Linked DNA regions of Sus scrofa. The protein of the gene in region 3 purifies or fractionates together with the protein of the main gene of each other region. This does not show direct contact. Links are inferred from orthologs where the notes say so. Each region holds a gene or a part of one and is shown on either strand. Other genes may lie near its edges.

Evidence for each region. Proteins that work in one complex are often made in the same cells at the same time.
Region 1: the proteins of STX5 (region 3) and GOSR1 purify together in Homo sapiens (affinity purification with western blotting; 3 studies listed by BioGRID, with this or other methods). This does not show direct contact. The link is inferred for Sus scrofa from reciprocal best matches to the Homo sapiens genes STX5 and GOSR1.
Region 2: the proteins of STX5 (region 3) and vesicle-trafficking protein SEC22b purify together in Homo sapiens (co-immunoprecipitation; 4 studies listed by BioGRID and IntAct, counting the BioPlex papers as one, with this or other methods). This does not show direct contact. The link is inferred for Sus scrofa from reciprocal best matches to the Homo sapiens genes STX5 and SEC22B.

Annotation. Positions count from the first base shown.
Region 1 is NC_010454.4:46,589,624-46,593,123, reverse strand, and holds part of GOSR1 (Golgi SNAP receptor complex member 1), read right to left. Parts: intron 121-3,500; coding exon 1-120. UniProt on the Homo sapiens protein: Involved in transport from the ER to the Golgi apparatus as well as in intra-Golgi transport. It belongs to a super-family of proteins called t-SNAREs or soluble NSF (N-ethylmaleimide-sensitive factor) attachment protein receptor.
Region 2 is NC_010446.5:100,897,843-100,901,442, reverse strand, and holds the end of vesicle-trafficking protein SEC22b, read right to left. Parts: intron 2,445-3,600; coding exon 2,290-2,444; 3' UTR 501-2,289; downstream 1-500. UniProt on the Homo sapiens protein: SNARE involved in targeting and fusion of ER-derived transport vesicles with the Golgi complex as well as Golgi-derived retrograde transport vesicles with the ER.
Region 3 is NC_010444.4:8,947,786-8,951,285, reverse strand, and holds part of STX5 (syntaxin-5), read right to left. Parts: coding exon 3,448-3,500; intron 3,275-3,447; coding exon 3,193-3,274; intron 2,140-3,192; coding exon 2,033-2,139; intron 1,864-2,032; coding exon 1,742-1,863; intron 1-1,741. UniProt on the Homo sapiens protein: Mediates endoplasmic reticulum to Golgi transport.

The sequences.
Region 1 (3,500 bases), on a different chromosome or scaffold from region 3:
GGAAAGCATAGAGCAGCAATAGGATGGTACAGATGCCAACAACACCCCCCAGGATGAGGGAGTCTCGCCGCTTCCTAAGGTTGATCCGCTGGATCAGGCTGTTCACAGCAGGAAAACGATCTTTGGGAAATCTTTATTAAGGTCATATTTAGAAGAAGTCTCTTTAGTGAAAACTCACAGGAATTTCAAAAACAGAGAGCAGTGGAGTCCAGAAACGATAAGTGATGAGAAGAAATTGAGGGGAAGAAAATCACACTGAGGAAGCTTGTGGCAAACACAGACATTCTACTGCTCAAAGTCCCAAACAAAGTCTCCCTGCACAGTGCAGTACACAAGTGAGAAGAATGAAAAGAAAAAGAATCAGCAGGGGGGCGGGGGTGGGGAATAACCATACCTGCCGAGGGATCACTGTCAGGGTGGGAGTCCGTGTGATCAGAACAGAGGATGCCTTTCCTTTTCCCCCTTCTCTCTCTCTCTCTCTAACCTCTTTTCTCAGGAGACTAGGTAGTTCTGCCAGAGGGGTTTGGAGGAATAGCTGATTTTCTCCCCACAGGGTGATAAGCCTCCCTGCATTCAGGCAACTGATGGGAATAAACTCTGAGTGCCTGTATAATCAAGCACTGGTTAACTATTTATTATTTTTGCTGTGCCCATGGCATGTGGAAGTTCCTGGGTCAGGGATCATCCCAGGCCACAACAGTGACAATACCAGATCCTTAACCACTAGCCCACTAGGAAACTCCCTAAAATTTAAAATTTACTTTGCAGCAGTAGGCAGACTATGGCAAGAAAGTGGGTGAGGAGTTCCATGGTGGCTCAGTGGGTTAAGGATCTGGCACTGTCACTGCTGTGGTGTGGGCTCTATCTCTGGCCCAGGAACTCCTGCTTGCTGCAGTGTGGCCAAAAAATAAGATAAAAAGTAAAAAAGAAAGTGGGTTCAACTGCCCTAGCTATCCTATTTAGGGAACATAAAAAAGGAAGATTAGAATTTTCAATTTTAGGGGCTTTATAAAAGCACCACAACTGTATTTTACTTACTACTGCAAAATACCTTCCTATCTTGTTAGCATGTTGTCATCAAAGCGCATGCCTGTGCATCTTATATTGTTTTACATTTCTTGCGCTGGTTTCTGACTATATATATATATATATATATATATACATATCCTCTGTAAATAGAGGTATTATATCGAGGTCAGGAAAAGCAACAACGAAATCACCTAGGATACTAGAGAGCTGGAATAATCCCTACTCCAGTTGAATCCTCACCGCATTTTTTTAATTAAACAAATGTTTTTTTCTCACTGCATTTTAAATAAAATGACTCTCAGCAGGGACTGTATTGTGTATTTATATTTTCTACATATTGTATGCATAGGCCACGTTTTCGTCTAATCTTTAATTTTCCTTTTTTTTGTCTTTTTGCCTTTTCTAGGGCCGCTCCCTCGGCATATGGAGGTTCCCAGGCTAGAGGTTGAATCGGAGCTGTAGCCACCAGCCTACGTCAGAGCCACAGCAACGCGGGATCTGAGCTGCGCCTGCGACCTACACTACAGCTTATGGCAACGCTGGATCCTTAACCCACTGAGCAAGGCCAGGGATCAAACCCGAAACCTCCTGGTTCCTAGTGAGACTCGTTAACCACTGCACCACAACAGGAACTCCAGCGCTTACTGACTAGAGCTTTAGACACTGTAGGCATTAGTGTGTTTTTTGAATTAATTAATGAAAAAAAATAACAATTTCAAGAAACAATTTTTATAACGTCAGAGAACAGGAAGCGTGAAGTAATGGGCAAAAAATTATACCATGGAAGGTACACACCTCACATAAAGCAAATGCTTCATCTTCTCTTGTTTGGTAAAAGGAGGGTCGACAATCCCCTTTGAGAAAGCAAGAAAGCTTTTGACATTAGAAAGCCCTGTCTAAGGTGGACACGTTTCTATCCTTTATGGGGACCTCTCCCCTCCTTCTGTAACAATCTAGTTCAGTCCGTGGACAGGGTGCGGCTAACCTTGTCCTCTGCCATCAGGTGCACACACACTTGGACTGGCCTCAGAGAATATTCGGAACTCTTGGCTAGTGACCAGGTTAGGAATAGGCAGTGACTCGAGCTAGGGTAGGGCAACCACAGTCCTCTGGGGACGTGTGCTACAGCTGTTAGAAAAGATACCCATTGTCCATGAGAATTTCTGAACTGCGAGGAAGTGCCTCTTGTAGCCACCTCTACCAGTACAAGGAGGAAATCTGCCCGAGAATGGGGCCAACACACCAGAAAACAGAAGTAAGAGATGGAGGAGGGGAACAGAGAGGAAAGGCAGGTTCTGATAATAAAGTCTGAGCCCCTATATCCAGCCATGCCTCAAGCCAAATTCTACCCCTGAATTCTACACTTATATAAACAAATTAATTCCTTCCTTTAACTCCTTATGTCAGTATGATTTAGGTTTCTATTATTATCTCTCTATGGAGTCCGAATTCACACCCATTTTATGTGATTTTTAAAACATATTTTTGGGAATGATAATAATTTGTGGTGATGATAAAGTGAGATCACGTGTATAACAGTATGCCATTAACTGTAGAGCCTTATATAAAAAAAAAATAAGTGATTTTGGATGTGCGGTTTTACACTTAGGGTGACAAAGCAAGAACAAAATTCACAAAAAACTGGAAAATAGGAGTTCCTGTCATGGCTCAGCGGTTAATGAACCCGACTAGTATCGGTGAGGATGCTGGTTTGATCCCTGGCCTTGCTTGGTGGGTCAAGGATCCAGCATTGCCGTGAGCTGTGGTGTAGGCCACAGACACGGCTCAGATCTGGCGTGGCTGCAGCTCTGGTGTAGGCTGGCAGCTGCTGCTCCAATTTGACCCCCAGCCTGGGAACTTCCATATGCCACGATTCGGCCCTAAAAATCGGAAAAAAAAAAAAAGGAAGAAAAAACCTGGAAAATACCAACACACTTCAGGATATTCTTTTCCTTAGGCAAATAAGGTACCAAATTACAAGTGACCTTAAATTACATGGGACCAGAAAACAGATATTCAACTTTTGAAAATTATAGGTCCTTACCCCATTAGTAATTGGGGAAGTAAACTTTTTTCCTTAAAAGGCTGGACTTCTCAGAGTAAACAAAATGTTTTAGCTTAGTAGGCTTATCTGTTTCGCTGATGGGTTTCTCAGAAGCATTAGTAATACTAATTTAAATTACGAAACTGAAAAATTAAGAGGTCACAACAAACAGGCAGCAAATCTATTCTAGAGTCCAGCTTGTGCAAAGCGAGTCCCAATGAAAATATACCATCAGCAGTGACCACTCTTCTGCGAATGTGGCTGTCTATCCCCTCCCCTCCTAAGCATCTGCTATTGACATATTCGCCAAACCAAAAAAAGGAAGAAGAAAATGCACATAATTTACGATGTTTAGGTAAAAATGGTGTAATGTATACTGTGCGGGTTCTAACATGTCTTTAAGAGCCTGTAAAATAATTTGAGAATA
Region 2 (3,600 bases), on a different chromosome or scaffold from region 3:
CTGCATGACAGTGTACCCATCTAGTTCTTCCTCAAGTCTCAGTTGCCTACACTATGAATTAAGTTGAACCAAGTTAATTACAACCCCCCAAATGTGCCTCACTCTTTTAACTCCTGACTTTGTACAAGCCATTGACTCTTTCTAGAATACCCATTCTCCTTCTCTTACCATACTCCTTCCCAGTAAATTAGGTGTCCTTTCTTAATGCACCCCTGATAAATCTGAATAGCACTTTCTAACATTCTATTTTAGATGCCTATTCAGTTGCTGATACATTTCATCTGCTCAGGTCTTCCCACTCTCTCTAATAAAGAATAGAAGTAGGAGCCATATCATGAGACTTGTTTTCTCATTTTCTACCATCATAATCTTAAACTACTTTCTTATCCCTTTGTTTATCATTCCTCCCATCTCATTTTTAAATTAAACCTGAGTTTAGGTAGAAATGTACCTAAATACATGCACGTAAATTAACTAGATAACAAAACTTCACACTGAAGGGAACATTCTAGAAGTATTTATTTCATTGCTGACCACTTGGCTGCAGTATGCAACTCTCAACAACAAGCTGCCATTCTCCACTCCTACAGAAGTACCAAATGCTACTTAGGTTTTCAGCCTTTCAAAGGCTTTTATTACCAACATCATTACTTAGGGACAAGCCTTTTAGGAACTTAAAAGCACTTATTCTCTATAAAAAGTAACTTATTTCATGCACAAAAGTCCAATTGGCAGACTTAAGTCCAAAATGGAAAGAAAAAAACTTTATTCTAGTTCTGTAAATTATCAGGAATAAAATAAGCATTTCTCCTTGCCTTGTTATAAGGAAATAGGATGTTTTTCTCTATCAGGAATCAGAACAGTAGCTTTGATGATCCTGAGTTATAAAATTGCTTACTGGTTAAAGGTCTTTCCAAAGATTTTAAGAAGTAAGAAGGTGGCTCATGTACCTGTACAATTTAAAGAAATATTTGCAGTGTGTATAGGAGTTATAGGTTATACTGTAGAGCCTTGTGACAGTATTTAAAAGGCCTGTTTTCCCCATTTAGAAAATTCTACCTCAGAAGGTAAGAGGAAATCCTCATCATCCCTGAGCAAAAAAGGGAAAAATCATAAGTATTTGTTTGTTATTAGAAGCTACTGTGATATCAGTTACCTATCTCTAGAACATTCTCAGAGAATTTCCATAACTGAAGCAGGTATGAAGTGCTCTCAGACTTGATAAATGTATTTAATAGTTTGAGCAGTTGTTCCAGAAAAATTTAAATTTAATTAACTACACAGCTGAACATTTTCTATTTTGAAATTTGAGAATATCCTGAGAAGATACTTAATGGACTTGAAACTACTGGACACAGAGGAATTTTTAAAATGTTAGAAAATTCTGGCAAGAGAAAGAGAGGAAAACCATAGTGGAGAAAGTGAGAAAGGGGCAGGACAAAGCTGTAGTTATGAGCTGGCCTTGCTTTTCACTAAGTCAGGGGTCTCTGACTATCCATATGCTGTACTCACTCATATATTAATATAAACCAGATGCATAAAAATAAAATTAAGAATGTCCCAAACTAATTTTAAGTCTTTTGAGGAGTAAATGACAGAAAACATGTTAGCTTCTTAATCAAGGAGTGCTATAATATAATTTCAGGCATCTTAATATAATTCATTTAACCCTAAGAGCAATTGTACAATAAGCAAAATATTATAAAGGGAAAATAACAAAGGCTAACTTTCTACAGGGGCCAACAGATAGGATCTCTTGCAGCACAGCAATTAACCTTCACATACTGGAGTCTTGTTTAAAAGGCCATCAACAACTCAGATTCCTGAAAATAACAAATGTCACCAACAAAAGGAATGTTGATTAGATGGTCAAAAAACTTTCCAAAGGGTTGCCTTCTCTGAAGGGATTTCAAACTGTTGCTAGCACAGGTTGGTTAAGCCAAATCTCACTGACGGCTCCATTAGAGAATGAGAATGCCCCAGTGAGTGCTGATCTAAAATATAAAACACTGGGAGGGGAAAAAACAAAATAAAACAACCTACTGTTCCCTAACATATATGGCTTAGCACCCAGAGAAAGCCTCTGCCCCCAAGAGACTTTCTACATAGGGTTAAGCTTCATTAAATGAGGTGTAATCTTTCATTTTCAGGACATGTCTTTTCTTGCAAGGTCTTTAGAGGCAGAAGTTCCACTTGAATTCTAATACACATCTCTGTGAGCTCAGCTTCCTGAAAACATACACCTGCCAGGTTCTAGGTTCTCCTCTGACAATGACGGGATTCACTACTTCACAGCCACCAGAATCGCACATACACTATTAACATGATGAAAAATACAGCTACTGCTGCAAGTTTGGCGTAAGTGGAACGCATGTTCAAGTACTTCGCATCCTGGCGGTATTTCTTTGACAGACTGGACAAATTGTTAGCCTTCGAATCCAATGCTGTCACAGATAAAAAAAAAGGAAAACATTAATGAGTCTCAAGTATTTTATCAAATGTATTAAGACATAAAAACAACCAGAATGAATGGCACTATTTCAAACTACCATGAAGCTTAAATTATCACTTTTATTTTAAGAGTAAGGTTACATGTACTGATTAACTCATGATCCTGAAGCACTGTAAAATCTACAATGCATTTTAAAATTATCAGATCAACTTATGTTCAAATTCTTGAGGCTGTATAGTGAGATGGTTAGGAATGCAGTCTCTGGCCTCAGACTCTGGTTCAAATCTCAATTGCACCAGTCAAGTGACACTGATCAACTCAGCCTAAGACCCAGCTTCTTTCTCTATAAAATAGGGGTTATGTAATAACATAGGATTATAGATATATGAGAATGCCTGTAAAGTGAGCATAATGCTTGAATATGGTAAACATCTGATAAATGTTAGCTGAAAATAACCATCTTCATTATCTCTTAATGTTCTAAATAAGATTCTCTCACATTTTGACAAAAGATAATTCATGTAAGATAAAAGATGCAGTAACCAGAAAATTCAATGAACCAGACACATATTAAACTATATCTCAGTGGTGACTGCTACCAAGTTTCTAAGACTTTCTACACAGTTACTACTGATTATTATTATGGAGATAAACTATCAGAAATTATATGTCAATAGACATAGGAAAGCTGTATTATAATGAAAATACAATCGCAGGTGCTAGAAAACTATCAACATCTACTAAATTAAGATTTTAGGGCTTTCCCATTGTGGCTCAGTGGGTTTCAAACCCAACTAATATCCATGAGGATGAGGGTTTAAACCCTAGCCTCTCTCAGTGGGTTAAGGATCTAGCGTTGCTGTGAGCTGTGGTGTAGGTCAAAGACATGGCTCGGATCCTGCATTGCTGTGGCTGTGGCAGAGGCCAGCAGCTGCAGCTCTGATTCGACACCTAGCCTGGGAACTTCCATATGCCACAGGTGTGGCCCTAAAGAAAAAAAAAGCAAAAAAAAAAAAAAAAAAAAAAAAAGATTTTTTTGAAAGTTTTTTTTCCTATAAGGACATTTGTAATGTCATTATCTTCTTTTAATTGTTAACTAAGCACATAGAAAAATAGCCAGATAGACACAAGCTAGACTGGGCTAAAAT
Region 3 (3,500 bases):
AATCCACACCTTGGACACATGGAAGTTCCTGGATCCAGGGACTGAATCCGAGCTGCATCTGTGGCCTACACTGCAGCTGCTGCCTATGCTGCAGCTGGGGCAACCCCAGATCTTTTAACCCACTTCGTGGGGCTGGGGATCAAACCCACAACTCTGTAGTGACCCAAGCCACTGCAGCTGGATTTTTAACCCACTATGCCAGATGTCACCTTCCTGATAGGGTCTACCACAACTATCCTCTTTTTTTTGTTTTTTTGTCTTTTTTGTTAGGGCCCTACTCGCGGCACATGGAGGTTCCCAGGCTAGAGGTCGACTCAGAACTGTAGCTGCAGGCCTATGCCACAGCCACAGCAATGCCAGATCCAAGCTGTGTTTGTGACCTATACCACAGCTTACAGCAATGCAGGATCCTTAACCCACTGAGCAAGGCCAGGGATCGAACCTGCATCAGATTCATTCCCACTAAGCCACAACAGGAGCTCCAATCCTCTTTAAATATACAACTTGCCCCTCCATGCCTATTAGTTTACCCCACTCTACTTTTATTTATGGATTTATCACTGGACAAAAATATATTCTGGACTATTTATTATGTGAATTTTTAACTATCTATCTCCCCTACTATGATGTAAGTTCCACAGAGGCAGGTTTGTCTCTTTTGACCTTGGCTGTACCCTCCGTAACTCACTGAATGAACACCAAGTGCCAAAAAAGAGGCACAGATACTCTCAGGCAGTAGCAGCGGAGGCCACAGGAGCAGAAACGTCTTCCGTGGGTGGGCTCTGCCTCCCTCCCTCCGGTCTCCCCCTGTACCTCTCTGTTCCCGTTCACTGCTTTCTAGCTGTGCTAGCCTTCTTGATCCTTTAATACAGCAGGACTGTGCCGCTGGAGGGCTTTGCTCTAGCTGTCTGCGCTGCCTAGAATACTCTTTGCCCCTCTCTTTTTTTTGGCGTTTTAGGGCCGCACCCACAGCACATGGAAGGTCCCAGGCGCAGGGCCAAATCAGAGCTGTAGCTGCTGGCCTACACCACAACCACAACAATGCAGGATCAAAGCCACATCTGCAACCTGCACCACAGCTCACAGCAATGCCAGAGCCTTAACCCACTGAGTGACGTCAGGGATCGGACCTGTGTTGTCATGGATACTAGTCAGGTTCTTTTCCACTGAGCCACGATGGGAACACCTCTTTCCCTCTCCCTTGCATGGCTGGATCCCTCCTGCTGTTCATGCCTCTCCTTAAATGTCGAGTCGAGTCTTCAGAGCAGCCTTCCCTGCCACCCTATCTGACATACCTCCGCCGACACTTTCTCAACACCTCGTCCTACTTTCTCGGTATAGCCCTTTATCACTACCCGAAAATTTCTTTAAATTCTTTTTTTTTGCTGACTCCACTGCATGAGGAAGTTCCCAGGCCAGGGATCAAACCTGTGCCACAAGAGAACTCCTTGTCAATTCTCTTTAATAGCTCTCCTCACCCACCTTGGTAAATTCTGTATGAAGACAACAAAGTAAGCCTCACGAAACAGATGTAACTGTCTGTTCATCCCCACATCCCCAGCACCTAGCACAGGGCCTGGTGGGAAACAGGTGCTCAGTCAACACTTGTCGAGTGAACAGAGGGAGGTGAACTGACCCTGGGGGTGGACAGGGTTCACCCTCTCTTCCAAAGGGCATCAAGCTGCCCCTGGGGACCTTTAGGATGCCAACCCCCGAGGGTTAAAGAGAGGAAGAGTCTCACCTCTGAATGGTTTCTTCCTGTTCCTTAACCATGTGTGCCAACTGCTGGAAGATGGAGCCAAGCTCCACAATTGTGGACTCAATGTTCTGCATGGTGTCTGCCCGGGTCTGGATGTAGGAGTCCTTCAGAGGGAGAGAGTGCACATGAGCCCTGGGAGCTTCCTCAGGGCGGGGCCTGCCTCTTGAGGGCCCTCCCTCTTGCCATTCCACCCACGGCACATTCCAAACGCTTGCTTGTGGCCCACGGAGGAAACCAGAGGAGCTACTCCTCCCCCGCTCAGAGCCTGGGTACCTGCTCATCAATGAGCTGCAGCTGCTGGCTGGTCCTAGAATCCATCATGTCAATGGCCACGTCCCCAGAGGCTCGGGACTCTGCCCCCAAAACCACAGCACCGCCCCCTGGGGGAAGAAAGAAGACACGGCACTCCTTAGTGGTTAAAAGGTTCAAAGCCCACATGCTCTGGATTTGAATCCCAGCTCCGGCAATTACTAGCCTTGTGACCCTGGACGTCTCTGAGACTCAGTTTCCTCAGCTATAAAACGGGGGATAATAATAGCTGCTTTCTCAAAGGGTGGTTGCCAAAATTAGATGATGGAATGTAAATAAAATGAACAGGTGCACAACAAATACTAGAAACTGTTGGAGTTCCCATCGTGGTGCAGCAGAAACGAATCCGACTAAGAACCATGAGGTTGAGGGTTCGATCCCTGGCCTTGCTCAGTGGGTTAAGGATCTGGTGTTGCCATGAGCTGTGATGTAGGTCACAGACATGGCTCAGATCTGGCGTTGCTGTGGCTGTGGTGTAGGTCACAGATATGGCGTGGATCCCACGTTTCTGTGACTGTGGCCTAGGCCAGCAGCTGTAGCTCCAACTGGACCCCTAGCCTGGGAACTTCCATATGCCAAGGGTACAGCCCTAAAAAGCAAAGAAAATAAAAATAAAAATAAAAAATACTAGAAACTGTCATTCTTGGAGTCCTATCGTGGCTCAGTGGGTTATGAACCCAACTAGTACCCGTGAGGATGCAGGTTCAATCCCTGGCCTCGCTCAGTGGGTTAAGGATCTGACGTTGCCATGAGCTGTGGTGTAGGTCACACACTCGGTTCAGATCCCACGGGGCTGTGGCTGTGGCGTAGGCTGGTGGCTGCAGCTCTTACTCCGTCCCTAGCCTGAGAACTTCCAGATGCCGTAGGTGTGGCCCTCAAAGAAAAAAAAAAAGAGAGAAACGGTCATCCTTCTGAACTTGACTTCTCACCCCAACGGTGAGAATGAATGTGGGAGACCAGGTGTGGACTGCACATCCCACCCTCAGCTTTGGCCTCTGAGAGATCAAGCCGAGCACCGTCCTTGGCCCTCCTTTCTCCTACCCAACGCCTGCCTTAGAGGGTACCCTCAGAGCCGGAGTAACGGCGCCTTACCCCCAAGGCTCCCTGCGCTGCCTGTGACTTACCGAGGTGGTTGGGCGCGAGGGGCAGGGCTGACACGGGTGCCCGGGAGAACTGCTCCCGCCGGCTCCTCTGCTGCTTCAGGTTCTGGGGTTGGGGAGGAAGGGGAAGCGCCTGAGGCCTCTGGAAGGCCGGCGTGTTAAAGAGACCCCGCCTGCGGCCCGTGACCACCCCGCCCTTCCCTTCCACTTGTCCCTTTCCTGTTTCCCTCGGGGACCCTCATCCCCAGACTCCTAGCCCCCTACACAGCTCCTTCTCACCTCTGTCCTCACTTCCAAAACTGATTTGAAGTCATTGGACATGGAGGCCAGCT